4 linked regions of the Alligator mississippiensis genome follow. The protein of the gene in region 3 interacts with the protein of the main gene of each other region in a pairwise test. Links are inferred from orthologs where the notes say so. Each region holds a gene or a part of one and is shown on either strand. Other genes may lie near its edges. The genes, in order: AKIRIN2, FAM114A1, SPG21 and PRPS1.

Region 1 (7,836 bases), on a different chromosome or scaffold from region 3:
TAATTATTTTCCTATATAATCCCAGCCTTTCAAACTAAATTCATACAAAGCACTCACTTCTCACTAACTATATGTACACAAAATAGGGGTACCACATCAAATCTTAATTAGAAAATATGCAACAAAATTGCTAGCAAGTATAAAAATTCTCTCTCCAACTCAAAAAGGGGGAAATATTTTAATAAAATTAAGAAACAAATACATATACTGATTGGACAAAGGTAAATCTTTGTTTAAGCCTCTCTAACAATTTCTTTTAGATACAAAATATTTATGGTATGCAGCAATGACTCAGTCATACAAACCCACATAAAGAATCCGTAAGTAGTGTAGATGAGAAATCCACAAGGCAGAACAGCTGCCAAATCCACCAAGACACTAAAAGCAACCTAAGAGCTGTCCAAATAACCATAAAATATTCAAACACTCTTGTTAAACTGAAATTTCATTTTGATTTGAAGTCTTCCCTCTCCCAAACGGGCATATCATTTATTTGCCTAAGTTTTATATTTAAATTAAGACAGCTGGTATCTAATCTGCACTCCTGTAAACCCAGTGCCCATTCAAATCTATACATTCTGTTTTCAGATAGCATTTGTTTCTGAAGAGACTAGCTAGTATTAAAATATTGAGGGGGTCCACATTCTCCACTAAGAATAGAAGTCACACAGTAGGAAGACTGAGAACAGCAGATAAAAGAAAATGAAATAAACTGCTGCACTAAGGACTATCTAGGAGTATAGAAATAACAAATTATTGTATACGCAGAACTTATTAATGTTAATAGAAATATTTTCATGAAATAAAATAACAAATTCTCTTCAAGTGCTGAAGACTTGCACATAGGTATTTTATATAGGAAACTTAAGTGGAATCAACTAAATTCAAGCCTTGTGAATAAACTACTACTAATGCGGTGTAAAAATTAAAAACGAGCTTTTAAGATTGAATTAGTTTGTTTAAAGCCCAATGAATTATACAGGTATAGATACTATGATTGTTTCTAAAAGCGACTTTTTAAAAGGACAGGGTCTCACTGGAAACATAATCAAGTAAAATGAGGGTAACAATGTCTTTCGTGAAAGAACACATGACTAAATTTAATTTGAAGTATAAAACTTGCTAAATCCCAATATTCACAGTTAGCACTCAATAGATATGCAACAAAAAAGTTCTCATTATGACAGTGCTAGTACTAACAGCTTATGTCAGAGCACACTATTTGCATAAATCCAATTTAAACCAGGCAAGTTGTTTAAGGCTATTCAGCAACCTGAAGGAACATCTGATTCACTACACCTTATCTTTTGCCATTATGAAATAATAATTCACAAAGCCAGCATACAATTGCTCATCTCAGTTTCGTTTTCTGAACAGATCAAACTACACCTCAGCAGAATATCTTAATTTAGGATGCAGTAGTGTAAAAAGCAAATAGTTTAAAAGGCTACCACTGACACTCATTTCTTCAGAGAAATAAAGCCGATGTGCTGCTACAAAATCCAGGATTTAATAATTCATACCCTCACAGAGCTCTATACTATTTTAGACCGTGCCAAATCAAAAACATGAAATGGCTCATTTCTCATCTTGTAAATCAAAGATGATATTTTGAGTACTTTTCAACTAGTTTATGGATGCAAATATCCACAAATGATGCTGACCAGACAAGGAGGCACAGAAATAGGAAAAGGCTCACACATTTCCCCTCTGCTAACCAGAGGTTACCTTTGACACTCCCCCTTAACTACTTCATAAATTTGCCTGTGGGCTGATGTGTTTTTTTGTCATTATTGGATTTCCTCCCTTCCCTTAAAATTTAAGCTATCCTTCTTCCCCACAAGGTAACCCAAGGCCAACAGATGCTGAACATTGCTGCTAATAATACACTGTTGTCTGTAAAGACCTATGAAGGCTACTGCCAATGCACTGCCTCCCCATTGCTAATGTCTGACAGCTACATTCATCACCCCCTTTTGAGCAAAGCGTATTAGTCACAGCACTGTACAGTAACAGCGTTTCTCCTCCTCCTCCTCAACCACACCGGTGCCAAAACCCTCCATGTCCACTTCCCACTGTAAAACCTTCCTATTTTAAGCAAGAATGCCTCTTTTTAAAAGGGCAAGGTGAACTGAGCTCTTCCTAAAGAGAGAAAGAAAGAGAGAGATACACACATCCAGCTATGGTAATTGTCTTATTGTATCAGCCTGTGTCATCCTTCCCCAATAGAATCGCTGCCTGATGCTGACTCATGCAAAATCCTTTCCCAACCTTTTTTTTTTTTTTTAAAGTACAGGACAGCCACGGGGTCAAATGCAAGAAAATGCCTTTTTCCCTGCCCTCTCCCAGGCTGCCTTCAGCTCCACCGCTGCGGGCATTTCCTATACAGCTCTGCCCTCAAGCAGGGCCCAGGCTTTCAGGAGCCGCAGCGAGCTGGGACCCAGGAGGTGGCTAACAAAGGCGGTGACATCCGGCTGGAGCGAGGGGGCCGGGCCCCGGGACAAGGGCGCGGAGACGCCGGGAGCAGCCGGGCGAGACCCCCTCCCTGCCCGCGGGTTTCGCTGCCCCCTCGGCGAAGCCCCGGGGGGGCCCGGCTTTGTTGTCCCCGCCTTGCCTCTGCCCCCCCCCCCCCACATAATGGCCGCGACCCACGGGCGGGCCCGCCCTGCCCCCCTCCCCCGCCCACGGCGCTTCCGCACCCCCGGCCGCCCATTGTGTCCCCGCCGCGGGGGGCAAAGAAAATGGCCGCCCCCCTCCTCTCCCCTCCCCCCCTGGCCGGGCCGGGCCGCACCTGTGGTGAGGCGGGACGACACGTCTCCGAAGGGCGAGGGCTCCATGCGCAGGTATTTCTGCGGGGAGGCGGCGGCGAAGGAGGCGGCGGCTGAGGCCGACGCGGCGGCGGCGGCGGGGGCCGCCAGGGGGGCGCAGCGCCGCCGCTTCGGGGAGGCTGGGCTCAGCAGTGGGTCGAAATCCAGAGTTCGTTTCAAGGTGGCGCCGCACGCCATGGCCGGGCCGGGTCCGGGGCGCGGGGCGGCGGGGCCCTGCCCGGGAGCGCCTTCCCGGCCGGGGGGGCTGCGCGGGGCGGGGGGCGGCTCGGGCCGGGCGCTGCGTGCGGGGAGCCCGCGCCGCCCGCGCTCAATTCAGCCGGTAGGCGGTGGCGGGGGTGCGGCTGGGCCGGCGCGGCGTCGCGGGACTGCGCGGCGGGGCCTGGCGCGGCCGATGAAGAGCGATGGCGGCGGCGCTCCCGTCTATGACTCTCCCGCACCAGCAATATGGCGTCAATAACAACGCCGCCGATTCAAAAAGCACCCTACGCCACTGCGCCTGCGCAGCCGGGGCGGTGGCCGCCGCGCAGCCTTACGGGACTTGGGGTTTTCTGGACCCCGCCCGCGGGCGCCCCGGACGGCCGGACGGACTACAAGTCCCGGCGGCCCCCGCGCGCTGCCGCCCCGACTTCCGGGGTAGCGTTTAAATCCCCAGCGAGGCTGCGGGTGAAAGGACAGGAGAAGGGGGGAGGGGCTGCCTTCCTGGGACATGGCGCTGCGGGCGGGCGGGGCTCGGTCCCGGGGGAGGCACAGCCGGGGCCGGTGCTGGGGCCCGGCCTGGCCACAGCCCCTGGCACACACATACCATCAGGAGTGGATGAGCCAACAGGCCCCCGGTCTGCAACCCTGGTACTAGTAATAAAATTGTTGTTAATAATGATGATTATAATATATAAGTGTAATACACAGTGTATAATATGATGATTATACAAAGTTAATCATAATGTTGCAGACAGCAGCGGAGCATTGCAGCCCGTGTGGATTTAAATCTCCCTGGTGCCCCAATGCCCTTGTGGATTTAAATCCCACCCCCCCACCCCCCGTTTTATGCCTGCTCTGTCAGTGGGCAGGCTGCTTTCCGGACCCAGTCCCTCTGGGACGCAAAAGCTACGGCCAGTTTGGCCTCTGCACCAGCAGGCCTCTGGACAATCTGGGACTCAACACAAGTGAAGGGCTGGTCCGCTGCTGGAAAAGGCCTGGCTAGGAGTGTAGTACCCTCCAGATGATCCAGCGGTGCTCTCACCAGGGAGCTTTGTTCTCACCATGAAGACACCAGGCCTTCTGCTTCCTGAGCATCCAAACCAATGTCGTGAGCCAGTGCCCTGCAAAATGGGGAAAAAGAAAAAGACAGCGGCTACTTAACTGTCTAAGGTCAATTGTCTTATTTCACTAGGGCTGAGAGAGAGAATGGAGGCATGCTAGGCTATGTCCTTGGGAAATTAGCAAAGCTTTCAGAGATGGAAAAGCATTCCTAATAGCAACCACTTGTGTCTAGATTTGATCAGGTTTAAAAAAAAAAAAGTTTTGAGCAAATAGGTTTCAAATGATGAGTGGAATAAAGCTTGAGTCCTTCCAGAACCTCAGTTGGCAGTGACTTTTAGTTATGCAGGCCGAGGTTACCTGATACGTGCACTCACCAAACCGTGACAGGATCATAGCAATTGTAATATACATCTGACGACCATGCTGACCCTGAGTTTGCAGGGTTCCTACCACAATGGGACCAGCCTTGGTTGGATGTTTTTGCATACTGTAATAAAAAGAAATATTTAATAATCGGTGTTCTCTTTGACTGATTGCATGGACAAAGCTATGAATTACTAGAGTAGGCTTTCTCTAACCATGTACAGCCAGAGGAGAATTTCTTTTTTCTGAAGACATTCTTTTTTTCCTGAGGCTGGCTTTGACAAACCCCATTTTTAAACCATGACAAATTCTGATTTTGTAAAACTCTCCGCAAACTGGGGTATACATACCCCTGGGCATATATGGAAAGCTTTTACAAGGTCCAGCTCTTCCTGTGGACACTCTTATTTTACACATTAGAAACATTGAATAATAGCGTTCATAGCAAGTGCTATACTTGCGTGACCATAATAGTATACCAGTAATTATGCTCGTGCTGTGATACCAGATAATTTCCCCATTCAGACAAGCCTTCACACAGGACTTAATCAAATTTAAAAAACTCTATAACCCAAGAACACCAAAACATAGCTTTCTTATGGTGATGGCTCTAAATCAGAGAAATCTTGTCATCTGTCAATATATTTTATATGTCCATCCAGTTTAGGTTAGTCTACATCTATACAGAGTCAAGACAGCCAACTCAATCTTCCTCTATGTTCTGAGAGACTTGTCCACATTTGGACAGCTATTTGAAGTCTCACAATAATTTATATCCTTTAATTTACATTTGGAACTATTATACCTTGTCTTTCTGAGCCAAAAAGCATCTTGTCAACTGAACTAGCTCAGTCCATTTAGCTGAACACAAATCCCCACACCTTACCAGCCACATAAGACACAATTTAACTCCATTGACATAATCTGAGGAGGGTGAAGAAATTTAGTCAAGAAAAACTAATACAACTAAAGTGGAGCTTTTTTGGCTTATGCAGGCAGGGCTGTAGTTAGAAGGAACAGCGAGCTAACTTAACACTTTGGCTATACACAAATGTGCACTGGTTTTAGTTTAGCTAAAGCAATAACATCTTTTTAAACAACCTTTAGCATCAATTTAAATTTGAAGTTATATCTTAAGCTAAACAAGAGAGATGTTGAATGTAGATAAGCCCCAAGGCAGAAAATTATCCAGTAACAGTGAATTGGTTGGTTGTAGTTTAATTATGGTGGAAAATACCTTGGAGTTAGGGCTCTGAACCACTGCTTATATTATTGTTCTTTCATTGCTTTGTTTGTTACAAAAACAAATCTCATTGTACAATAATATATTACGTATTTTATGGTCTTATATATTTACATGTAGAACCCACTAATTTTCTTAACACTGAGCGTAGAGTTGAACAACCTGTTCAAAACTGAAGCCGCAAAATTGTGTCTTTATTAGGTCTGTACTTAAATAACAGTATCTATTGAAAAAGCTACAGTCAAGATGTAGCACAGTGTTTTAATATTGTGTAGTTTTGGAAAACCTGGGGAAATAGTGTATTATATTTAAACAATGGTAACTTGGTTATCAAGCACCCTGAGTGTAAATCTTCTTAGACATTATACTCTTTCCTGTTTTTCCCAAATTTTTCTTTTCTCATTCTGTCCTCCCTTTGTTCAGCTGCCTCAAACTCTATCTAATTTCCTTCCTCCTCTCTTTTTTTTTCTTTTTCCTGCCCTCTTCTCATGCTCTTTGCATCTTCTGTTGGTCTTCACCTATTTCATCTCTGTGTGACTTAGCTCATTCCACACAAGGTTCACATCATCATCCTTCTACTTTAACACACTTTCTGATGGCTGCCCACTTCAGAAGAGGTGTACTGTCTCCAGCATCTCCACCTCCCAACCAGGGAACCTTTGAAGGGTCGAGAGATCCACACCATACAGTGACAATACTAGGCAGTCTTTTCACTGTCTCTGCTGCACAGATTCATAACTTCCAGAATGAGTAGGCCATATGTTCTAAGCCACATTGGCTGCTTCTTTCCCTGGCTTAGGTAGACTCAAGTTAGGTACTGGGTGTGTTGTTCTATGCCAGATTGCCATTAGGTATACTTTGTGATTTTTCTAGACCTGCGGTTGGCAATGTTTTTCAGCAATGGACCAGAATGACCAAGCTCGGGTTGAAGGCAGGCTGGTGCTCGTACCCAGCCAGCACTGCTGCCACTTGTCCCCACTGCCCAACAATGGCGCAGCATAGCTGAAGTGTCAGGCTGCAGCACAATACAGCATTGCATGGGCAAAGCCCCTCACCACAGAATCCCATTGAAGCCTCCCACTGCTGAATATTGCCGAAGCCCCCACTCCATGATCTGGATCCAATGGCCCTGTAGGCCAGATCTGGTCCATGGACCAGAGGTTGCTGACCTTTTTATTAGACAGAGAAAATACAATATATCTAATCTGGATAGAAGTAAGTAATTGATAAGATGCCACAGGGGAAATTATCAGTTAAAATAAAAAGATGGGTTTTAGTGTGAGACTTGTCAAGTGGGTAAGGAACTGCCTGAAAGAGAGGTGAAAATGGGACCCCTGAGTATTAGAGTAATAGAAATGGGATAAAATTAAATTAAAGGAAGTTTGCCTTTATCTAGGAGCCCCTCTACATGTTTACATTTATGCTGCAATTAAAGTGTTAATTGTGATATAAATGATAAGGGTGCATATTAAAATGGCAAATGAGCCATAAAAATATTTCACATATATTTAGAACATTTTCATGGCTGGTTTGCATGGTGCCTTAAATTGAATGTGTGGCATGTCCAGGGCTGCCCCAGGGCCAGGGCAAGCAATCAGTTGATTGTACAATCCTGGCTTTGAGGTCTTGAACTGGCCCATGTGGTCCTGGGGCCAGGGCCAACAACCAGCTGATGGTCAACCCTGGCCCAGGACTACACTGGCTCACACCAGGCTGCAGGCATCTGGCTTTCAACTAGCTGGTGCAGGGCAAGACCAGGATCATGATCCCAGTCTCCCCCTGCACCAGCAAGCAGAGGAGGCACAGTTGGCATCTGACCCCTGATCCTTAAATTGCACCTCCTGCCATGTACAAGTGGCACTGCAGGAGGTGCAACTGTTGCAATCAAGTATCAGGTCCCATGGAGCCTTTAAATCAGGGGTGTCCAACCTTTTTGAATGTGGGGCCAGATCACGAACTTTTTATCACCCAGAGGGCCAGCGAGCCATATTCAAAGACATCACAGAAAGTGGTATCATATCAGGAAGTGATGTCATGTGACCTTTGACACCAGTGAAGTTGCAGGGGTTGACATGGTGCTAGTTGACATGGCATGCATGCCCGGGTTGACATGGTGCTGCAGGAGCCTCTGGGCTACAACCG
Region 2 (8,229 bases), on a different chromosome or scaffold from region 3:
TTAAAAAAATAGCACAGATATATAAATTAACTACTCAGTTATTACAAATTCCAGAAACACTTAAATGATACAGAACCATTCTAAAAAGCAGCTTTACTCACCAATGCTTGCAGGTATGCAGCATGGTAAGAATTAAATGAGAGACAATGTAAGTGTATATTACAAATATACATGTTTTATCTACAGAAATCATGAAGGTTCATTTCTGAGGGCCAGTTATAGCCCCCCATCCATAGTTGGCATTGATGGAATGCCAATTACTGTCAACAAGAGATAAGGTGGGCAAGGTCAGTATAGATCGTTGAACCCCGACTATTTCCAAAGAAGTCTTGTAGATTTAGCATGCTCCATAGATCAAACACATCTTTTTTTCTTTCCTTCTCATCTTCCTCCTTGTTTAGCATCAGTATCCACTGGGTCTTATCCCATTATTTCACCAATTTAAGTGGGGAAAAAACATCTCTGTAACCCTTGCCACCTGGAACACTGTTTTTAGGACCTGCCTACCTCACCTGCACTCCATAATTTTTTCAATCTCATCTGAAAATATGGCTTTTCTCTTTTCCTATCTTTTTTATTTTAACTTTGAACCATGATACTATTACATATTTCTGTCAAGCATTTTCAAATATTACTTGAATATTCATATTTGCTATAAAACGTATTTTGATTTGTAAAACTGTCTATGCAAATCCATTCTTAAAAGTACCTTGACGACTCTCAGGTCTAGCAAAATCCCTTTTGCAGTGGGTCTGATTTTGATTTTACTCATGGTGATGAAAACCAGAACTAAAGGCCAGTTCCTGCACTTGTGAAGGATCTTTACATTACGGCATCAGTTGTAAATGGGCCCTAAGTTGACCCTTGAGGTAAATTTTCCTTAAAAAGCACTCTATACAGCTTTTTGCTCTCTTTAAGAATGCTTAGGGAGCAGAGTTGAGAGGGAGATTGCCCAGACAAGTCTGTATTCTAGACAGCCAGCCAGAGTTGCGCTGCCTAAGTACAATTAGTCACAAGTCTACTCTAATTTCTGTTGTAGACAGGTCCAATCTACAGAGCAGACTGGAGTCCAAGAAGCAAAAATTCACCATAGCACCACACACACATTGCCAGAGATGCCCACGCTAGCCCCACAGGAATGAAATCAGAATCAGGCCTAGTAAGCACAAGAGATTGTTGTACATTGAAAACTAAGTTTAAAGGTAAAAAAAATCCACAAAAATTATTCAGAATTTAAAACATGAGACAGACACAGGAAAGACAATAAACACACTGGTTAACTTAAAATTAAGTTCCTCCTTCATTTGCTACTATAATCTTTATTAACTATGCAGAGGCATATGTGATGTGACTAGAGTATGGCAGTCTCTGTTTTCCTTGACAAGGATTATTTATTTAATTTTTATATACCACCCTTCCCAACAAAGGCTCAAGGCACCTTAAAATAAGCAAACAATAACTTAGAAACAGGCGAGTAACATGAAGACCAAAACAACTTAAAAGGGATCTAGGATAAAACAGACACCCTCTGAACAACATCTTATCCTAGTTTTGTTTAGTAAAAGCCAGCCCAAGTAGGAAGGTCATGCAGTGCTTCCAAAAGATATTCAGGCTTGGCCTCTGGAAGACCTGAAGATGGAGGGAGGTCCAGAGCTGACGAGCAGTTGCACAAAACAACTGAGTTGTGATGAGAACACAATCAGGAAGAAGGCAGATAGAATATATGTGTTGATTTTACAGAGAAAAGGGGCCACCTTTATCTAGTGAGTCTAACTCATAACATTTCACCAAGTAATTTTTGTATGGAACCAAAAGTGAGCTGTGTGTTATACCATCAGTGATGGTGTGGAGCCTGTGCCTCGCTCCACCTGCCCTATCGGGGTGTTGCCCCTCCCCTCAACTCGCCTGCCACGACTTGGATGTAATCAATTACCTTCAGAGGGGTCTACAGTGGAGGTCTTTATCCTGGGTGGGGCCTCCCGATAGACAGTGTTACTCACGGTTGTCGGCCGTGGTGATCCATGGGGCTCCGCCTCCCCTACACCCCGTCCACACGCCAACTGCTGGGCGATGCGTTCCAGATGTTTCCAGGCCCAGTATGATGGCCTCTGACTGGTTCACCGGTTCCCGGTCGTCCTCCCTCCTGCTGGGAGGGATTTCTCCTTTCTCCTCTCTTACAGAAAATACTCCTCTGAATTAGGGGGAGCTGGTGGGTGCTCCCCCTGGTTCCAGCTCCCTCCTGGAGCCTCTGCTGTCTCCCCTCTCCTACCGTCAGCAGAGCGCTCCCCTGCCTCCTGAGCGTCAGCCGCTTCAGGATGCAGAGAGATTGCCTCGGCTTGCACTCTCTGACTGCCTTTCGCTCTGCTGTTTGCGAAAGGCTTCCAGCTCTTGTCTAAGCTGCCTGCTTGAGACCCGCAGGCTGGGTCCTCTCCGCTCCATGCGAGAGCCCGCAGCACGGGCAGCACACCCGTACTCTCTCTCCCTGGCTCCCCCTCTCTCCCTGTCCTGCCGGCATTTTTAAACCTTCCCACAGCGGCCGCTACGGCCGCTGAGATTGGCTCAGCTGTTCGCTGTGCCGGGAACAGCTGTTGCCAGAGCCGGCGTAATGGCAGCCGCGAATGCGGCTCTTCCTCCCGCTGCTCCTCAGCCGGTACGTATGCCCCTCTGGGGGCTTGCTCTCGGGGTCTGGGGTCTGTGGGTCCCCCCTTCTCTCCCTCACTAGCCTGTGGGGGCACTTCGCCGCCACAGTCCTCCCCTCTTAAGTTGCCTTGTGGTGGCTGATTTTCTCTCGTGACAGCATGTGTCACCTGCTGCTCCTCCCTGTGGATGTGGCCCGTACCTTCCTCTGCGTTGTCTGCGCCTCCCCACCTGGACAAGAAGTCAGCCACAAAGTTATCTCTGCCAGGACGGTGTATCACCGTGAACTTGAATAGCTGTAATGCCAAAGCCCAGCGGGTGATCCTGGTGTTCATGCTCTGTTTCTGTGTCAACCACTGTAGTGGTGCGTGGTCTGTTACTACCACGAATTCCCTCCCCATCAGGTAGTACTTAAAGTATTCTATTGCCCAGCGTATTGCCAGGCATTCCCTCTCGATGGTGGCATACCTGGTTTCTGCCTGGCTGAGTTTCCTGCTGGCAAAGGCAATTGCGTGCTCCTCCTGCCCGTGTTTCTGGAGTAACACTGCTCCCAGCGCCCGTCCTGATGCATCCGTCTGTAAAACGAAAGGGGCGTTAAAGTTAGGCGTGTGCACGACAATGTCATGGCGCATTGCTTCTTTCAAACTCTGGAAGCTCTTTCGCATCCCCAGTGTCCATTTCAGTGGCGTTACGGATCTCCCAGCCAACGCGTCTGTAAGTGGTGTGGCGAGCGTTGCGAAGCAGGGTATAAATCGCTGATAATAGTTAACGAGTCCCAAGAAGGAACGCAGTTGTTTGCGGGTTCGCGGTTCCTGGAACTGCCTTATAACCTCAATCTTATCTGTGAGTGGCCGCACTGTCCCTCGGCCTACTCGAAATCCTAGGTATGCTGTTTCTTTTAAATGTAGTTTACATTTCTTCGGGTTGGCGGTCAGCCCTGCTGTTCGGAGTTCTCCCAGGACTGCTCTGAGGTCTTGGAGGTGTTGTTGCGAGCTGGCGGAAAATATAAAGTTGTCATCAATGTACGCCGCCGCGTACGCTGCGTGCAGTGCCAACAGGTTGTCCATCAACCTCTGGAACGTCACAGCTGCTCTGCTGAGGCCAAAGGGCATCCACGTGAATTCGAATAGGCCCCACATAGATTCATAGATGTTAGGGTTGGAAGGGACCTCAATAGATCATCAAGTCCGACCCCCTGCATAAGCAGGAAAGAGTGCTGGGTCTAGATGACCCCAGCTAGATACTCGTCTAACCTCCTCTTGAAGACCCCCAGGGTAGGGGAGAGCACCACCTCCCTTGGGAGCCCGTTCCAGACCTTGGCCACTCGAACAGTGAAGAAGTTCTTCCTAATGTCCAGTCTAAATCTGCTCTCTGCTAGCTTGTGGCCATTGTTTCTTGTAACCCCCGGGGGCGCCTTGGTGAATAAATCCTCACCAATTCCCTTCTGTGCCCCCGTGATGAACTTATAGGCAGCCACAAGGTTGCCTCTCAACCTTCTCTTGCGGAGGCTGAAAAGATCCAGTTTCTCTAGTCTCTCCTCGTAGGGCTTGGTCTGCAGGCCCTTGACCATACGAGTTGCCCTTCTCTGGACCCTCTCCAGGTTATCCGCATCCTTCTTGAAGTGTGGTGCCCAGAATTGCACGCAGTACTCCAACTGCGGTCTGACCAACGCCCTATAGAGGGGAAGTATCACCTCCCTGGACCTATTCGTCATGCATCTGCTGATGCACGATAAAGTGCCATTGGCTTTTCTGATGGCTTCGTCACACTGCCGGCTCATGTTCATCTTGGAGTCCACTAGGACTCCAAGATCCCTTTCCACCTCTGTGCCACCCAGCAGGTCATTCCCTAGGCTGTAGGTGTGCTGGACATTTTTCCTCCCTAGGTGCAGCACTTTGCATTTCTCCTTGTTGAACTGCATCCTGTTGTTTTCTGCCCACTTGTGCAACCTATCCAGGTCTGCTTGCAGCTGTTCCCTGCCCTCCGGCGTGTCCACTTCTCCCCATAGCTTTGTGTCATCTGCAAACTTGGACAGAGTACATTTCACTCCCACGTCCAAGTCGCTGATGAAGACATTAAAGAGTATCGGTCCAAGGACTGAACCCTGTGGGACCCCACTGCCCACACCCTTCCAGGTCGAGACCGACCCATCTACCACGACTCTTTGGGTGCGACCCTCTAGCCAATTTGCCACCCACCGGACTGTGCAGTCATCCACATCACAGCCTCTTAACTTGTTCACCAGTATGGGGTGGGATACCGTATCGAAGGCCTTCCTGAAGTCTAAGTATACGACATCCACCCCTCCTCCTGTGTCCAGGCGTTTCGTAACCTGGTCATAGAAAGAGACTAGGTTGGTCAGGCACAATCTGCCCGCCACAAACCCATGCTGGTTTCCCCTCAGCGTAATTTGCCCTGCCGGGCTCTCACAAATGTGAGCCTTGATAATTTTTTCAAAGACTTTACCAAGGATGGAGGTGAGACTGACAGGCCTATAGTTGCCCGGGTCCTCCTTCCTCCCCTTTTTGAAAATGGGGACCACGTTAGCCCTTTTCCAGTCTTCTGGGACTTGGCCCATGCACCACGAGCGTTCGAACATTCTCGCCAGTGGCTCTGCAATGATGTCGGCCAGTGCCTTCAGCACCCTCGGATGGAGCCCATCCGGGCCTGCCGACTTAAAGGCATCCAGTTCTTCCAAGTGACTCTGCACCACCTCAGGATCTACGCATGGAAGTCTGGCGCCTTGCTGCTGCCTCTCTACAACCCCAGTGAGAGACTTGTCGTGCCCCTCACTTAGGAACACTGAGGCAAAGAACTCGTTGAGGAGTTTAGCCTTGTCCCCCCTATCTGTCACCAATTGTTTCTGCCCATTTAGCAGCGGTCCTATTCCTCCCTGGGCCTTCCTTTTACTCCCAATATATCTAAAAAACAATTTCTTGTTGTCCTTTACTTGGGTTGCCATCCTCAGCTCCATGGTAGCTTTGGCCCGCCTAACTGCCTCCCTACAAGCACGAGCAGAGGAGGTATATTCATCTTTAGTGATCTCACCCTGTTTCCACTTTTTATGTGCTCCCCTTTTGGCCCTTAGGCTGCCCTGGATTTCTCTGGTCAGAGAAGGCTGTTCTGGACCACGGGGTCCCGAAGACTGTTTTGGCACAATCCATGGGGCGCATCGGGATCTGCCAATATCCCTTTGCCAAATCAAGCGTGGTTATATACTGTGCTTCACCGATTTTCTCCATGAGGTGAGTGACATGGGGCATCGGAAAGGCATCAAACGTAGTCAGGGCATTGAGCTTCCTGTAGTCTATGCATATGCGCAATGACCCGTCCGGTTTGACGACGGGGACTATGGGGCTCCGCCATGGACTGCGGGACGGTCGTATAATCCCTTGTTCTTGCATTCTCATGATCTCTTGCTGTATTTCCCGTTGCCACCGCTGAGGTATCGGCCTCCATCTCTCCCTCACCAGTGCTCCCTGAGGTGTCCTGATTTCATGTTCTACTCCCGTTACTCGTCCCAGGATCTCTTGGAACACTGCCCTAAATTCCTCTATCAGAGCTACTAATTCTCGCTGTTGGTGATTGCCCAACTCCTTGCCCATTTGTACTGACCCCTCCTCCCCGGGTCTCCCTAACCAGGGACACGGCGGTCCCAGGTCCTCCTTTGTATCCCCGTCTAGGGCCAACCAGCCCTGAGGAGTTTTCCACTTCTTGAGCAGATTCACGTGGTAAATCTGTCGTTCCCGGCGGTGGCCTGGTTTAAGTAATTCGTAATCCACGGGTCCTACTTGTCTCACCACGGTAAATAGCCCCTGCCACATGGCCAGCTGTTTGCTGGAGGAAGTTGGCAGCGATACCAAAACTTTGTCCCCCGACTGGAAAGTCCGTGTTTTCGCCTTCTAACGCTTTTCCTGTATGCCTTGGGCGTCCCTCAGGTTTCGCCTGGAGATCCGTTGGGCCATGGAGATTCGGTCTTGTAGCTCTTCCCGGTACCTCTCCGCCGACACCCCCAAGCCTATTGGCTTTTCCCATTCTTCCCTTACGATTTGTAGCAGTCCCCGAGGGCTATGGCCATACACCAACTGAAACGGAGAGTACTGGGTTGACTCTTGCGGAGCGTCCCTTATGGCGAACAGCAAGGGTGTCAAGATAGTATCCCACCTCCGCGGGTCTTCCTGGGCGCACCGCCTGAGCATCCGCTTGCTGGTCCCATTTAACCTTTCTACCAAACCATTAGTTTGGGGGTGGTAGACCAAGGTCTTTAGCTGGGTGATGCCAAGGGTCTTACATAAAGCTTTCATTACCCCAGACATAAAGTTTGTTCCCTGGTCTGTGAGTATTTCCCGAGGTATGCCCACCCGCGCTATCCACTTAAGAAGTTCTTCCGCTACTCGAGTGGCGGTTATGGACCTAAGGGGCACGGCGTCTGGGAAACAGGTGGCATAATCTACCATCACCAGGATATATTGGTATCCGTTATGTGACCTGGGGAGGGGTCCTACTATATCCAGGGCGACCCGCAAGAACGGTGTCTCTGCTATTGGCATGGGCTTCAGGGGTGCCCTTGGGGGCTTCCATTCCTGGGCCCTCTGACACTCGGGGCATGCGGCCCCCCACCTTTCCACGTCCTCTTGGAGACGAGGCCAAAAGAATTCTTGGGCCAGCCTCGCCCGGGTCTTGTTACGTCCCAGATGGCCACCCAGGGGTGAGTCATGGGCCAATCTCCACACCACTTGGCGAAGTGAGGACGGGACCACTAACTGTCTCCCCCGTATGGTACCCTCCTCACCCCGGTGGACCCGATATAATAGTCCCCCTGTTACCTCGAAGCGGGGACGCCTCTGTGAGGGTCCTTCCCCGGGATCAGCGTCCCACATCCACTGCAGTTCCGGGTCCTCATGTTGTGCCCTAAGAAATTGGGCCGCGCTCACGAATTGTTCTAGGTCGATGCCGTCTGCCATTGTCTCGTTGCGACGGGCTGGGCCCTCGCCGGCCCATCCGTCTCCCCTCTTGATCCGGTTCCTCTCCTCTTGCATAGCCCTCACTCGCTCGAGGACTGTATAGAATGGCCCCCATTCTCGGCCTAGTATCATCTCACACGCCAGGGTCGGGGCAATTCCAACCCGCAACTCTCCGCTAAACTCCATCACCCTAAGCGGAACATAGCAAGTCTGGAACCGCATCTCCCCCCCTAGTATGCAGGTCATCGTCAGGGGCCCCTCACTCTTCCATTCCCTCTGCGGAGCGAGGTCTGCCCGAAGTAGGGAGTGGGAGCACCCCGTGTCCAATGTGGCCTTAACCGCCCTGTCTCCAACCCATGCGGTTACTACGGGCCGGTTCCATCCCTCCCTCTGGGTTGCCGACCCAAAACTGCAATCCATGGGTTCCCCTCTCTCTGCCTCTTTGCCTCTATCCCGGGGGGGTGGATATCCTGTTGGGGTGCGACTCAGCTCGCTCAGGCCTTCCCCACATTCGCGGGAGATGTGTCCGGTTTGCCCACAGCGGTAACACACCACCCCTTTCGGTGGCCCTCGTCTCGAGACTGTTCGCCTTTCCCCTTCGCTTGTGGGTCCCTCTTTCGTGCCTCGG
Region 3 (7,813 bases):
AGCTCTACATAAAACCAAACCAAACCAATGGGAATGGAAGTCAGAGCTGTAGGCGGCAGCAGCAGCAGCACCAATGCAGGGCAGGCAGCTAAACTGCACTGCCAATTCCTAACTTCAGAATCAAAAATGACCTGCCAGAAGTGCTGACAAGCACAGCTCTCCAGCAGACTGCCAAAGCTCAGATGGCACCAGGAACCCAGTAGAGATTACTTTAAAAAGAGTTGTGTCAAAAATAAAAGCGCCATACCAGGCAAGATGGTAACATGGGTCATGTCAGTAGACATGACCGTCTGCAAGTCATGTAAAGCAGTCACTGGAGTTCCAGCAAAGATGCACTCTGCAGGGGTCTGTGAGACAGATCCAAACCGGAGTCGAGTTGTTCCAGCTCACAGCTCCAAAACATTGCTACCACTGGCTTAGACAGTTCTCAGTACTGCACAGCACGGTCCTTGTGAAATAAGGCTCTATTTCATAACAAATTATTTAAATTGTACCTACCTTTTTAAGAGGAACTGTACTTCTGAACCAGTTATAGTCAGGAGAGACTTTAATCTCTCCCATGATGTTTAGATGAAACTTAGGTAAACCTGAAACAAAGATATGGCATCTTTTAGGCAAAGAATGCAGGTTCGCACTAAGCCACTACACTGAAGCCTTGTATATACAAAGAGTCCTTTCATGATGAAATTTGCTTTTACCTCTTATCAGCTGGTTTCTAATGCATGTCAAGTTTGGTTATCCTTAGTTTTAATTAGAAGCTACTTAAAAGGTATTCAGAAGATACAATCACTAGAATGTTTTAATATACTAACCCTCTAATTATGAACTGATGGAGCTTTCGGGGATAAAAAGGCAGCTTTTCCTTACAGACCATTCCAATGGAGCAGCTCCTGAAAGGGAAAGATAGTATTTCAGGGTTTAACTTGTTTTAAAAAGTGGACATTTTTATCATTGCTTCTATTCAACTTTAAACAGTTCAGAAAAGGGGCTATAAATGCCCACGTATTTCATGCCTTGCCCTCCAATTATTCAAGTATATAGGACACATGCTCTAATTCAACTGTAACTAACATAAGCATTTCTTGAAAGCAAGCTTCAACACTACCTCCATATTACTCGATACCTGTTCTACAGAACAGTCAAAGCTTCAGGGCATCTCTTCACAGAGAAGCCGACCAAAACAGCAACATCCAACAGTTGTTCCACATAATTAGTGTACTTATTCCAAAAAAAAAATTATTCCAGAAAAATAACTGTTTTCCCAGCCAAAGTAATAATTCTAAAATTAAAACAGAGTTTATTCCAGAAGTGTCCACACACGGAGCTTTATTCTGAAATAGCTATTGTAGATGGACTATTCCCACTACAGCCAATTCCCCCCAGACAAAGAAGCATTAACAAAATTACCCATATATTGAGGTTTCATGTTCTATATAGGACACAATTTGTTTGCAATAATGAAATCAAGACTAGCCTAGTGAAACGCCATGGCACTGATAGATTAAGCACTTTTATTTGTATACCAAATAACACTGGATAATTCTTAAAACTGGGGCTATATTCTGACTGCTTGTAACCTGTTGCTTGAAAGGGAAATTCTGCCCCAGAGATTCATTTAATTTCACAGTGTACAGAGCATAAGAAAATAAGGTGTTTGCTCTTTTAATCAAATATTCAGATATAATTAAATGGGTACTGACTCTCATTTCTAATCAGAATTGTCATATATTCCACTCAATTTCTCTCTGTAGACAAGACCCTAAATGAAGGAAATTCACCTCATCTGTTCCCACCACTATACAAAAAAAGCAATTAAGATACAGCTCTTTTGAATTCAATCCCAGTTTGCTAGTTTATAAACAGATGGAACAAACAGTGAAGAAACACTTACTAGAAACATGAAGTACATGCCTCTTACCTACTATTTTCCAAACTGCAAAAAGTATTTCATTTTCACCACATCACAAATATTTCCAGATTGGGTGAGAATCTCACCCTACTGGGTTGACTGGTATTTCAATTTTGGATAAGTTCCTGCTTGCGTCAAGTATTTTACCACTTGTGCTAGCCTGGCAGCGCATAAAAGTTAGTGGAGAGCAAACACCGCCTCCAGCCAACAGACTGGCGAGTGAAGCAGGCTCACAATATTACTGGAACGGGAGGACAGCTGGTCATTAGGCAAAAAGAAGAGAGCAATTTGTTCTACTAAATCCCCTGCATAAGTCTGGATTAGCCACTACGCAAAAAACAAACATTTTTGGAAACAACGCTGCAATAATATGCTGCAGAAATTGCGAAAGCAAGCAAAACACACACGGACACCTTAATGCAAGAGCAGTGTATGCTTCACACTGTATTTTAATTTATTATATAGCTGTGGCCAGAAGCCCAAGTCAGGATCTGGGTCCCACTGTGCGAGCACATAAGCAAATTCTTTAGAGAAATGTAAGGAAGCATCCGTTTAGCTCGATGACAGGACTGCGCGCTAAAGAAATGGTTTCATTCATCACAGGATTGAGAGCCAATTCCAGCTCTTCTCCGCTCTCCCTTCTCTTGCTGCCAGTGGTTGTATTAGTGCCATTAATTTAAGTGCAAGGCATTAATTGGCAACCTTAGAGACGGAGTTATTCTAGAGAACAGGACTGGAACAAGCATTTTTCTTTACCATCCTCATGGTCTCACCAATGTACCTGAACACCAACCTGCAGGGGCCCCTTATAAGACTCAAAAGAAACAGTCTCCACACCTTTAAACCTTGGGCTCCTACCAAGATCGTTACCAAAAACCCTAATTGGCATTAGCTGTGGTTTGTCTGAAGCAGAGAGCTACCTAATACGAACCAAACCCAGACGGCAACTACCACACACCGCAAACCACTGCCCCTTGACTCGTGCTCCCATCTTACAGCTATTTTGCTCCGTGCTCGCGCTCCTTCCTATTCGTCTCTGTGCACCGCTACAAAACAACGTCGGCGATAGGAAATTCAATTCCTGCGAGGCTCCTGCGCAGCGGCGGCGGCGCAGGCAAGTCTCCGCAGAAACGCAACGTTAAAAGCCTCCTAGGTGAATAACCATCACCATGAAAGCTTAACCACGACACTTTGCTGGTTATCCGATTTCCCAGCTCATTCAAAGGCAGGGAACATAACGCAGGGAGCTGTCCAGGATGGTGCCACGCACGTCTTTAAAAAAAACCAAACAAGTTTTAAAAACCAATTTAAGGAAAACACTGGCTCTTTGTCTAGGTCCCACAAGCCACGACAGAAATTACACGGGCGCGCGGGCAGCACAGACCCCCCACGCTACCCCTGCCCAGCCTGTGCCCGCGTCCCCACAGACGGGAGACAGCGCCTAGGCAGCCCTCGGCCCAGCCCCGGGCCCAGTGCCCCGCCAGCCCATGCCCATCCCCCACCTTGCCCAACCCCCATGCCGCCGTACCGGCTCCCCCTCACGGAGGAGGGAGTGGGGGGAGGGGAGGAGCGCTCCGCTCCGGACCGCGCTGCCTGCGCCTCCAGCCGCGACTTCCGGGTACCGCCTTCCCGCGGAGCCACGCGCCGGCCACGTGACCACGCGCAGGGGCGGGGCGAGGCGCCGGGCCGCCATTGTTACTGAGGCACAGCCCAGGAGGGGGGAGAGTGCGCATGCGCACGGGACTGGGGCGAGGCGCATGCGCAGGTGTGGCTGTTGCAGGTGGAGCATCATGAAGGTACATCACGAGAGTGGTGTGGGGCTCCTTCCTCTCTTTTCCTGGCGTCTGAGCCTTCAGGGTGTGCCCAGGGTTTCTCAGTATGCTCAGGCTGTTGGGTTTTTTTAAAGAAAATGAAGTCTGGTCTTCGTAGTGCTAACAGGACTCGGAGAGCTGGGGTTGTGGGAGACCGCCAAGCAGCGTGAGGCCTCCAGAGAGCGTCCTTGAAAGCCTGCCCCTTTCCAGCGGCATTTTACCCCCTGGCTAAAGTTCATTGCTGGGGGGCGACAGCGGGACGCACGTGGTCGAACGGCGGCTCACCGTCGGGTGCCTTGAGATCCTTCCCGGGGTGCCTCGGGGCGCCACAGACCGTTAGCGCTGCTAGGTCACGATTCACGAGAGAAATGCTGTTTGCACGCGGGGATCCAGCGTTAACCATCCTGACCAGTTGCGGGGTTTCTTGATTCTTTGCAACAGGGCAATGGCTCTTGTTTTTCTGTAGTCAAACGAGTGAAAGCTAAGAGCTGGCATTTTCTGTGGGAGGCTTTGAGCCTCTGGAGGGGGATCTCGAGTCTGAAAAGGTGGAGAACCGCTGTGCTAAAATTCAAGGGCCAAACTCTGCTCTCCGGTGCAGACTTGCAGCTCTAGTATTGTCAATGGAGGTATCTGCCCGCTTGATGCCACGGGTTTGTTGGTTCAATTTTTACAAAAGAAGCTGATGAAAGTTATGTTTTTCTCGTTTGCAAGCTGGCCATTAGGGTTTAGATCGTGATGAGTAGAACTTGATGTTTTTCAGTGAATTTTGGCTGGTCCATAGGCCGTATCTGTCCTGGTGTGAGCTGGCTCCAGTCACCTTATCTGATATTGGATGGCTGCATAGTTCAAAACTACAGAACTGAGATGGCAGACTGGTTTAATTTGGAGGCAGTTGTGCTTGGAAAGTGGACAGTGGATTTACATTCTCCACCAGGAATGGCCAGGACCAGGGAAAAAAAATGTCATTGACTAATTTTATAGAGCAAGTGTATGTGCAGCTGTTGTGGCATAAACCCACCAGATGGCTCTATCTGGAGAACTGCTCTCTGTTTTAAAAAAAAACACAGTTGAATACTGTTGAAAAGTATTTAATGTCAAGAAAAGAGGTGTCTACAGAGAACAACTCTTCCCTCAGCCATGGCTACACATGTAGAAAGCCTCAAATAAAATGAGATCATACTTTGGAGATTACAGGACTGAAAAGAGTAATAAAATAGTGTTATGTCGCCTTTTCCCTGCTCCATGCACATATCATTTTGAACTTACCCATGCCCCTAAAGGGAATATTTGGATCTAAGTTTGTAAACCAAAATAGCTTATTGCTAATACAAGTTTTGAAAACTGTTTCTTGAAGGGGTTTGTTTTGTTCGGGTTCTTGTTCTGTGTATGGAAAGGAAAAGTAATGAGCTGTTACTGTCACCTACCAGGGGGAAAAAATCACAAATGCAGTATGATAAAACTGAAGTCTGCGATCTCTTGAACGCTGATACACTTGCTGAACTTTTCACACAACAGTTGTCCTACTGACTTCAACAGTACTGCTCATTGTATATATGCTATTCACATGTGCAAATGGTCACTGCATTGGGGTCCTGGCTTATATGATGCATTTCATACAAATTCTCTCTTCAGACATCACACTGGTAGCTTTTCTACTGAGGACCTCTGCACTGTTTGGTGAGCTGGGCCTGTGTAAAAAATATATTCCGTAATACCCTGTTATATGTCAAGGAAAATGGTCATAGCTACGAAATAGGGAGATGTATCCTTCAATGCAACATCCCTGAAAAGGCTCTAAGATTTTAAGGGTTATAGTGGACAAGCAACTCAATGTAAGCATCTGCTATAATGTAATAGCTGACAGGTTTAAAGAAGCCAGACTCAACAATGACATATCTTTTCTAAGACACCTAGGAGCACACAACACCAGCAGACTTTCCTTATGCCTGAAGAGAGGTGTTTGTGCCTGAAAGCTTGCAGGGAACAATTTTTACAACTATTTAGTTTGTCTATTAAAATATATCACATTTACCCAAAGAACTTTGTATTCTTCGATCCATGCACAGGAGAGTAGTGAGGAGGATCAGGAAGGGTGATTTTACCTCTCTAAAAGGTCATATAAGCTTTCAGCTTGAAAATCGCTCTAGTAGAGTTACCAGGTCATTGACACATCCATGTTGAACTGTTTAGGTAGAATAAATAAGGCTGAAGCTAAGATCTCTGCCTTTTCTTGATTGCAAGTCTTCTATTTGGATATTACATGTTAGCACTATTAGATCTCTTGCTTATATCTCAGGGAAGCATCCAGAAAGGGGGATTATGTATGCCATGTCATTCAAAATTCAAAATATTTTTTTTCAATCAAATACAGAACAAACAACTGTAGAAGAACGTTACACAACAAAAAAATGAACCAAGCCACCACAGTTAAGTTGTTCAAGCCAGCAGAATGATGGCAATAGGGTTGTAATGGTGTTTCTGAAGGGAACTGCTATGTTTTGATTTTGGATCTCTTCTCAGAAATGTTCTGTTCTAGTGTTAGGCAGAAGGCAGAATAGAGCTAAGGAGTAACTCAATCAGAGATGTGTAGCCTGAGCTTTTGTGGGACTGAGCTCACTTCATCAGCTGCCGTTGTTAACACTGGGTTGCGGTGATTTTGTTATTTTTTAACTTTTTTTCCCAAGCTTGGCAGGAGCTGGCTTCCTTTGCAGCTTCATTTTGTACCAATTTTTTCCCTCAACCGTGGTCTGCAGTGCCTCAAGCAGTCACTAGTAGCTTGCACTGACAGTCAATGGTCACTGCTGTGGGGTAAGGATTCTTGTGGAAGAGATCTTCTATTGGACCAAGTGCATGACACAAATTAATTTTGTCATAAGAAACCATTAGTGTCCAGGCTGCAGATTCACCAGGCTGGGAAAGTCATGGTTATTATGTATGTTGAAGAAGTGAATCAACTGAACACTGACCAGTTCTGGTCCCCACATCTCAGAAAGAATATAGAACTGGAGAGGGTCCAGGGAAGTTTGGCAATCAGGATCATGAATGACAGAAGCTGGCAGTGGTCAATCTCAGGGTCGGGGGGCACATGCCCACCTGTGCCCCCTTGCGTGTTGCCTATAATCAGGATGATCAGTGGTATGGAGGGGCTTCTGGATGAGAAGAGAGTAAAGAGGCCAGGCCTATTCAGTTTAGAAAAGGGGGGACATGATAAAAGTGTACAGGTTTCCCTCGCCAACCGCTGGGGTCAGGTTCCTGAAAGTTCCCCCTGGTTGGCAAGACAAAAAGCGCATGGGAAAAATGGCAGCCACAGCCACGAAAAACCGTGGTTACTTGAAATACTGTGCTAGCCAAAATGGTGTGTGTATATATATATATATATATATATATATATATATATATATAATATAATATTAAGTGTGGGTACTCAAAATCGTGGTTGGCGAGGGAAACCCGTAAAAAAAAAAACCTAAACGGTGAAGGGAAATGAAATAGGGACTTAATATTTATTCTCACAACACAAAAACTTGGGGTCGCACAATAAAACTAGTAGGTTGTACGCCTAAAGCTAACACGAGGAAGTTCTTTGTCACCCAGCAGCAAACCAAGTGCGGGGCTCAGCGCACGCACAGCTTGGGGCTGACTCAGCGCTGTGCCCGCTCGGCCACGTGGAGGCTGCAAGCGCTGAGTCACCTCTCGCGACCACTATCAGCGCTTCTCCCCGCGCACACGTTTGACCCTCGCGCGCTCCCGTCCAGCGGCCCACAACTCCCGGCATGCAGCGATCCCGGTGGCCCGCCATGCCCCGCGCCTATCCTCTCCCTGCCACGGCGCCTACGCGCCCCAGAAGGCTTCGCGCGCAGGGCCAAGCGGCCGGCGGGCGCGGGGCCCCGCGCGGAGCCTGCCGGGAGTTGTAGTTCTGAGGGGACGGGACGTGAGGTTCGTGACGCCACAGAGGGCTGGGCGAGGCGACGGGAGGTGTTTACTGGACGGGCCTAGTGCGGCGGGGCCGCGGGCCGCCGGCGCCATGTCCGGCTGTAGCACCTGCGCCGCTGCCGCGCGGCTGCTCGGCTCCTCGCTGCCCTCGGCGCACAGA
Region 4 (8,128 bases), on a different chromosome or scaffold from region 3:
TTTTAAGGAGAGAATGGAAAGTCATAGTAAACTGAAGCTTGGTAAGTCAAATATAAGGAGGGCAGATTTGTACCATATTCCATTACCTGGGTTAGCTTTGGTGACTCCTTTATTAGTATGGGTTTACTGCTTGTTTGCTGTCTCTCCCAGCACTGCCCCCATGTTCCCTCTCCCCACTCATGTCTTTTGTACTATAATTGCGCTCTCCTTATACTCGGCTCTCTGCATGTCCTTTCACAACAAAAGCTTGGGCTGTACTCATCTGTACTTACCTCTACTTTGGTTAGTCTTTAAGGTATAAGACTACCTTGCCTTCTGTCAGGAATGAACAACAGCTTTAGAGACATTAATGGGGAGACCTGCACCAGCAACACTGTGGGAAATAAAGCAGTAGCCCCTACATAAAACCTGAAGTGTGGGGCCAGGTCTTTGTAGCAACAGATTAACGAATGGAAACTCTGACAGGGCTCAGTTTAGAGGACAAGCCAGCCTTATCATCACCAAAGTTCCAAACATGTAGCATGGGTGGAGGAGGAAATGGGCTGACTTCTCTCATCATCTTGAAATACCAATGTTCTAGAGGTGTCTTTGCTGTTTGGCTGCCCTAGCATAGGTTACCACTAATGGATAAAGAGCAGCAAGATCATGCAACTTGTGCTGATATCAGTTTCATTTTAGAGACTGGGGGAGATTATTTTAACAGAAATTAATTTTTCTGTCCATCTCCCTCACCGATCCCCAAACTGTCTGCTTTTAATGCCGATCTTGCACCAAGGGTTTGGTTGATAGAGCTACACAAGAGCATTTATAGCAGCAAATAAGTGATTTTGCCAATAGAAGTTATCCAGATTCCCCCAAAAGAATAAGTTAAACCAGTAAAAGGACTCTCTGTGTCACTATAGTTATATACACTAGCACTTTTATCAATACAGAAATGACAACAACAATCACACTCAAGACTGCTACACAGGCCAAAGTTTCTAGCGTGGAATTAACCTAAGACACTTTTATTGCTGTAAACTTTAAAATCAGGATAAGTCGTGGGATTTTTTTTGGTAAAGCCCAAGGAAGTATTGACTAAGTACCTAATCTTGCCTTTCCAAGTAAACCTTCGCATTACAGCCAAGGAAGGAACAGGATCAGTGTTAGCTCTTGCATGTTCAGCATTATTTGCTAACATTAAGAGTCTGACCAGCCAGCTGGATGGATAAAAGTGCATGATGAATGGTTGTAAGGTCACTGTAATGACATCAGCTGTAGTTTAGTAAACAGACTCCTTTGCAAGTCTTATCTAAACCATTTTGCCCTACTCATTGGGTTTTCAATTACAGCATATATTTATGCAACGGAAACATATGCAATGTTTTTCCTGATGTAGTATTACTGCAGTCCCATGGACAGGAGGATTCTATCCATAGGAAGAAGTAGTTGCTGAACACGGTAATTATTGTCATGTGAACAGGCTACGCAGAGAAAAGCAACACAGTGATTTCCTACTGTTCCAAACCAAGCTTTTTATCATGGCAAGTTAACCGTGTAAACCCGGTTCCCCAAACTTAGGCCTGGCTTCTTCCAGCAAGATGGAGATGATAGAGAATATATATAAGAAATTACTAGGAACTGCATGTCTCATGGTACAAATAGGCACCAAAGAGATGCAAACTTCCTCAAACTGTTTTCACGGGCTGCTAAATGACCAGAAAGCTTTAAGTGTCAGCACAAATCTGTTTTAAAAGCTTGGATTCTCTAGAATAAAGTTTCAATTTTTCATTGTCAATAGTCCAGGCTTTTAAAAATAAAGAACTTTAAGGCATTTAGCAACTGAAAATGAACTGCCCACATTCAGTTCACAGGGTGAACCCTTAGTTGGTATACTGGCAAGCAGGCAAACAGACTGCTTGCCTTGGATTTTTTACTTTAAGTGGGTAAAAAAATCCACTTGATGAATTCCCATTATCCTATCTGTAATCCAAGACATTATGAACCAAACTGGTTCTGAAATCTTGGTAGTAGGATACTGGATGATATCCTCTTTGTTATAGTCAGGGCTCTCCAAACTGCAGCCTTTGGGCTCCCAGGTACTGCTCCCCCTATTGTTCCAGCTGCAGCAGAGGATCCAGGCTTCCCCTCTGTGCCCAAAGGCACAAGATGGTACAGCATGAGAGTCTGCATGCCAAGGTTGCCTGAGTGACATGAGCAGTGGGGGAGCCCATGGCTGAGGAGTGATGGGCGAGTCAGGACACATGCTGCAGCAAGGAAAGGTGCCTGGGCACACAGTGAATCAGCAGAGTGGCATGTGGTGCAACACTGTGGCACAGTGCAGTGGGGGGTGGGGAAGAGGCAGGTAAAACTTGGATTCCAAACTCTGCTGGGAAAAGGGAGACCCAGGTTGGCAAAGACTACCATCACATTGATGGTCTGTGTCCCCACAGAGGGAACCCCAAAATGGTGAAAAACAACTGCATTGTCCTAAGAAGCAAAGAGGGATCAGGGGATGGGGACGGGCCCAACAACTTTCCCTGAATCTGTGGCTTCAGGATGGTTAGCCAAGATGCCATTAAACCCATGGAGGAAGCTCACCTCATTTTTTCTCTGCAATACTTATTTTACGACCAAGTAGCAAACTTCCAACAGGGCTGTTCACACTTTTTTGAAACTTGTTATAGTAACAGCTAGAAGGCAGAGTGCTTTATTGAAATGTTAAAACCACTGAACAAATGCCTGGCTTTCAGATTAACCCTGGGACTAGCAAAACATCCTGACATGCTCCTGTAAGCATATCAGAACAGGCCTGTCTTTTGTAGCTGAAGTGAGGAGAGAGGTTCATGGCTGCAGACCCATGGCCTCCACCCCAGTCCAATCTAACTATACATGATGCGCCACAACCCTCATGCTTCACCTTCTTCAGAAGCCTCTTCCCTGGGGATTTAGTTACCAGCTCCCACGCAGCAAGATTCTTTGAAGCAGCAGCTGCCAGCGTTTCACCACCTGCCGCCCCACAGCCAGGGGAGGGAGGACCTGCCCCCGTCTCTCTCTGTCCTCAACCCCTAACTCAGAACAGGGAAGCCACCAGGATTTGGACGGTGGCAGAAGAGGCTGGCGACCAACGGGGCACTGCTAGTCGCCACAACTGCATCATCCAGGGCTGCTCCAGTTCCGGCTCGCGGGCCCAATGCGGCCACAGCTCGGGCCGTTAACACTCCTCACCCCGCCCCAAACACCGCGACGGGCCAGGAACCAGGCCTGCCCCCCCCCCGTGCCCAGCGCCATCCCGGAGCGGGTCCGCCACTGGGACGCCGGCACTGGCCACAGGCACAATCCGGGCGAGGCCCAGGGCCCGCGGCCCCGCCCCGCGCACATGGCCCCGTGCCGCCCTGGCTGGGAGCTGCAGTCCGCGCCACCCCGCGGCTCACCACGTCTCCTGGTTGCTGAACTTCTTAGTGACCACCTTGCCCAGCTCCAGGCCCAGGCGGTCGGCGATCTTCTGGGACAGGTCCTGGTGCGAGCTGCCACTGAAGATCTTGATGTTGGGCATGGCGCCGGCCTCACCCTCCCGCTGCCGCACGCGGGGGCGGGGGCCGGCTCCGGTTCCAGGCTCCAGCCGCCGCCTGCTCGCCGCTCGGGGGAATGCAACTGCACACTGAGCCAGCGCGTGCCTACGCCGCCATTTTAGCCCTTCCCGCCGGCTGCGCCGCCCCCCCCTTTATCACTTCCCGGGCCTGCTTCCGCGCCCCTCCGCCCGCTCCCCATTGGCCGTGCGGCTTCAAGAGGCGGGCTCAGGCCGAAGGGGACGCTATCGAATTGGGCGGGGATCCAAGTAGGCGGGGCTTGAGCGTCTGCCTCAAACTCGCGCCCCGCGGCCGCCGCGGACGAGGGATGGGGTCTGGGCTCGCGGATTGGCTGTGGGGAGGATACGCTAGCACTGTCTCCCCGTCTCTATCCGGCGGCACGTGTAGGCTGCGCGGGAAGGAGCGGGCAACGATTGGCTGCCAGCGAGCCCCGCTATTGGGCAGCTGCGAGCCTCGTTCCGGCATGTGGGGGCGGGACCGAACCAGGGCCGAATCCAGGCGGGGCGGCCAGGAGGGGGCAGCGCCGGGCCAAGGGCAGTCTCCGTTCGCGCGGCTCCTCAGCGGCGGGGAGTGAGACGGAAGCACCACTAGGAAGCCGCCGCCCCGCGCCGAGGCATACAGTAATCTTCGTATTTGTACAATAATTTCAACCCTTGCACGGTATAGGATCAATAATAGTAGAAGCGTTCAGAAAACAGGATTTTTTTTTGAGGCAGTTAATTGATGCGGCATATGCAAAACCCAAGCCGCTCTCAAAGAATCTTAACTTGCTTTTGCATTTGCTGTCACCTCTTTTTTTATTCTTGCCCTGAAATAAACGCTTCCACTTCGAGACCCAGTTCTCACTCACTCACTGGGAGTTACACTGAGCAATACAGAGTAAATAAAAACACTTATTTGTATGTGTTTTCAGTTTATGATAGTTTTTCAGTAAATACGGTAATTTTGAGCTTCCAATAACACTGTCATTTCATATTTAAGACCTGGCAAGGCTGGCTCCAGGTGTGTATCCAGCAGCCACTTGCCGCTCGGGCACCCGGGGTCAGTGCCATTGTGCTCAGTGTGGGATGCACGTCCCGCTGCAGCCGCACTGTAGCCTGCCTTGTCTGGTGGGAAGAGGCGGGGGGCCTGCACCATTGGCAATGTGTAGGGGGTGCACGCGGGTGCATGTGCACCCCTGAGCGTGTTGGTGCACCCCCTACAAAAAGGCACTGCAGACACTGCCAGCGGTGCCTGTGGGTGGTCGTTGCTCATCACTTCTCCCCTCCCCCTCGCGGCTGACACTGCCAGTGGCGTCTGCGAGTGGTTGCCAACCACTGGTTGGTGCTCGCCACCCCCTCCCCCTGCCGCTGACAGCGCCGTGGCCACCTGCGGAAGCTCCCTGCTTGTCACAACCACGCTCCTACCACCAACAGTGCTGCCACTGCCTGCGGGAGCTTGCCGTGCCCCTTGCAGCCTCCAGGGGTGTGTGGCATTCGTGGGCTGCAAATTGGTGATGGCAATGCCCAGTGCTGCAGCCCAGCCCTGGCCCCTTTTGGCTCAGCCGTGTGGCAGAAGTCACGGTCAGGCAACAGGAGCAATTGGCTCCTTCCTTAAACTCCTCTTAAATGAGCTTGGCTTCATGCACATGTGGCACCAGCCGATGGCCTCCACAGCTGCCAGCCTGGCTGAACCCAGGGCTGTAACAGCAGCCCTGGGCGGGAACACAGGTGTTTGTGGAAGCTAGTGCGACAGAGGAGCCGCTGAAACAAACTAAGCAAAGTCAAACCATTTGCAATTTTTTTTCCCAATCAACTTTTGCTGCCAGCTGACATGTAGGAGTTGTCTAGCTGCCAATGTCCAACTAACCAAATGGCAGGACTGGGGTGCTGGAGCTGTGCCAGTCCAGGGTATGTAAAAGAAATGAGGATTATGTTTTGTGATAGCTTTTATTGGACTAAATTATGTAAAATCGTAGTCATGGAGAAGTGGGGCTGGAAGGGACTGCCAGAAGTCATCTAGTCCAGCCCGCTGCATGAGGCAGGATCATCCCTATCCCAACCATCCCATACAACCATAATCTAAATTCTATATAAGACAACCATCAACCCTGCCACAACATGAACCCAGCACCCTAGCCTGACACAGGTAAAGCAGGGGAACCACAGCAGCCAATGTCCTGCTTCTATAAAATGTCAGTATGTGCTTAAGAGACCCCGGGTAGAGGGCCATGTCCCCCCACTAAGGACAAAGGCAGAAACCCCCCCCAATTTGTTCCTTTATCTGACCATGGGCTAAAATTCCTTTCTGAAACCAAAGATGCTGACTAGATTTGAGTGGAGGAGCAAAATCCTCTAGCCAGGAACCTCTGGTTTGGTCCCAGCAGGACCATTGGCCAGGGCTGGATTAACGCATAGGCAAACTAGGCACATGCCTAGGGCCCTGAGCTGCATGGGGTCCCAGTCCTTTGCTCTGCATTGGCGATGCGAATGGCCTGTCTGCCTCTCTTCCCTTCCTTTCCCTTTCCCTCTGCCAGCCTGGCTGCAGTGGTGGCTGCTTCCTAGCGGTGGCTGCAAGCCCCACTCCCCGCAGGCGGCAGCGTCGGGGTGGGAAGGGGGGTCTTGACTGGCCCGGGGTCCATGAGTTTGTTTGCCTAGGGCCCACTAAAGGGGTAATTTGGCCCTGGCATTGGCACATCCCAGTTGAAGTCCCAGCCTTTGGCTGTAGCCAACACCCAGTGCCTCTGGAAGGCTTAAAAACACCCTGACACATGTAGCAGAAAAGGTGGTGCAGGGGACAATCAGCAAAGACCAGAAGCCTGGCAAATACCCATGGTAGAACATAGGCATAGCTACACCTAGATCATCCCCAAGCAGCGGCTGTCCAACCCCTTCTTGAACACATCCAGTGATGGGGAGTCCACAACTTCCCTGGGCATCTACTCTACTGCCTCACTGTTCTAACAGTGAAGAAGTTTTTTCCAGATATCCAATCTACACTGACTTTGCTGCAACTTCAAGCTATTGGTCTGCATCCTCCTCTCTGCAGCAAGGGATAAAAGGTGTTTTCCTTGTCCTACAAGGCAGCCCTTCAAGTATTTTAAGACGGCTATGTCCCCTCTTAAGGGCCTGTGGTGCCTCTAGTGGGCGGGGTGAGTACCGTACCGTCCCCCTTTACCGGAGCTCCCCGCAACTCTCCTGCCATGACTTGTTGTGAAAGGAGGAGATTCAGTGGTATTCCTCTTCTCGGGTGACCCGGTGACAGAGGTACTCAACATTTGCACCGTGGTGTTCCTCGGGGCTCTGCCTCCCCTACATCCTATCCCCTCACTGACTGCTTTGGGTGTTAGTATCATTGTTTCCACCATTCCCTGTGAACCCCTTTTACTAGGGGGGGTTCGGTTTCAGCTTTGGTGCCATTCAGTTGCCAGGATGTCAAGGCATCTGGAGCCCCAGACCCTGATGCCAGAGGGCTGGGCTCCTGTTATCTCTCTTGTCTCTCTCTCTCCTTGAGAGAGAGAGAGGCACTCTTATGAATTCCTGAATGCAGGTGGGCAGGGACCAATCATCCCCCTGCCTAATGCAGAGACGCTGCTCCCCCTGCTCCAGGTACAGGTGCAGCGCCTGTGGCAACACTCCTGCCAGCCACTGGAGTCTCTGCCTGCCCGACGTGCTCCCTGCTGGCTTTCTCCTTCTCTCCACCCCACCTGCCAGCTTCCATGAACTTCCCACAGCCCAGGGTTTCCCCGCCTTGGGAACAGCTGTTTAAAGAGCCAGTGTAATGCCAGCTCGCGCGGCTGTGGCTCCAGTTCCAGCTCTGGCTGCGCTAAGAAAGGTGAGTTCCCTGAGGTGGGGGGGGGGGTCTGTGTGTTCCCCGTGGGGGCTCTTGGGGTTTTCCCCAGCCCCCTTGATACCTGGGGGGCTTCTTGTCACCACAGGGCCTTTCTGGAAATTGAACATGACTAGCTCTTTCAGCCTCTCCTCTTATGACTGGCCTTCCAAGCCTTGATCATCTTTGTTGCCTCTGCACCATCTCTAACTTTGCCATATCCTTTCTAAAATGTGGAGCCCAAATCAGCTCCAGTGTAACCCCTCTGGGTTGTGAGGGGTCAGCAGAGAGAGGTTGGGCTACTCAAAGTCCAGGAAAACCAGAGCCCTGGAGTGGAATTGAACTATGTTTCCCAATCTGCTTTGGGAACTGGCAGGATGATGCAAGAATACTACCAATGGGAGGAGTAATGCGCAGGGCTTACCAAAAGCCCATGAAAATGAGAATATGGGGAGGGGTTGCAGGAAGGGTGGGGAGGAGAAAGGAGCTGAAAAAAGGGAGGCATTTTTCCCCAGGGCTGGGATGGACTGAGAAAAAGAGAGGAGTTACTCCCTGACTTGAGAAAGAGGCTCCAGGGAGATTGTGGAGGAGTCTGATCTGATTGCAGCTGGGAGAAGGAATGACTTCCCCACAGAGGAGACCTGAATGGAGACAGAAATTGATCGTGGCTATAGATCTGTACCTGAGTAGGCGCATCTACTTGTGCACATTTACTGCCTAGTAACCGAAATTACCAAATAGTACAGGCGCAC

Evidence for each region.
Region 1: the proteins of SPG21 (region 3) and AKIRIN2 interact in binary tests that used the Homo sapiens proteins (3 or more experiments, as listed by UniProt). The two-hybrid records come from large-scale screens. The link is inferred for Alligator mississippiensis from reciprocal best matches to the Homo sapiens genes SPG21 and AKIRIN2.
Region 2: the proteins of SPG21 (region 3) and FAM114A1 interact in binary tests that used the Homo sapiens proteins (3 or more experiments, as listed by UniProt). The two-hybrid records come from large-scale screens. The link is inferred for Alligator mississippiensis from reciprocal best matches to the Homo sapiens genes SPG21 and FAM114A1.
Region 4: the proteins of SPG21 (region 3) and PRPS1 interact in binary tests that used the Homo sapiens proteins (3 or more experiments, as listed by UniProt). The two-hybrid records come from large-scale screens. The link is inferred for Alligator mississippiensis from reciprocal best matches to the Homo sapiens genes SPG21 and PRPS1.

What each region holds. Positions count from the first base shown.
Region 1 is NC_081824.1:75,631,752-75,639,587, forward strand, and holds the start of AKIRIN2 (akirin-2), read right to left. Parts: upstream 3,195-7,836; 5' UTR 3,006-3,194; coding exon 2,792-3,005; intron 1-2,791. Other genes in the region: uncharacterized protein LOC106738238, read left to right, coding at 3,273-3,674. UniProt on the Homo sapiens protein: Molecular adapter that acts as a bridge between a variety of multiprotein complexes, and which is involved in embryonic development, immunity, myogenesis and brain development.
Region 2 is NC_081825.1:50,196,773-50,205,001, reverse strand, and holds the start of FAM114A1 (protein NOXP20), read right to left. Parts: upstream 3,278-8,229; 5' UTR 3,263-3,277; coding exon 3,106-3,262; intron 1-3,105. UniProt on the Homo sapiens protein: May play a role in neuronal cell development.
Region 3 is NC_081834.1:6,523,422-6,531,234, reverse strand, and holds the start of SPG21 (maspardin), read right to left. Parts: upstream 3,544-7,813; 5' UTR 3,438-3,543; intron 3,182-3,437; exon of another isoform or gene 2,906-3,181; intron 891-2,905; 5' UTR 813-890; intron 588-812; 5' UTR 562-587; coding exon 499-561; intron 1-498. UniProt on the Homo sapiens protein: May play a role as a negative regulatory factor in CD4-dependent T-cell activation.
Region 4 is NC_081831.1:42,100,504-42,108,631, reverse strand, and holds the start of PRPS1 (ribose-phosphate pyrophosphokinase 1), read right to left. Parts: upstream 3,695-8,128; 5' UTR 3,536-3,694; coding exon 3,414-3,535; intron 1-3,413. UniProt on the Homo sapiens protein: Catalyzes the synthesis of phosphoribosylpyrophosphate (PRPP) that is essential for nucleotide synthesis.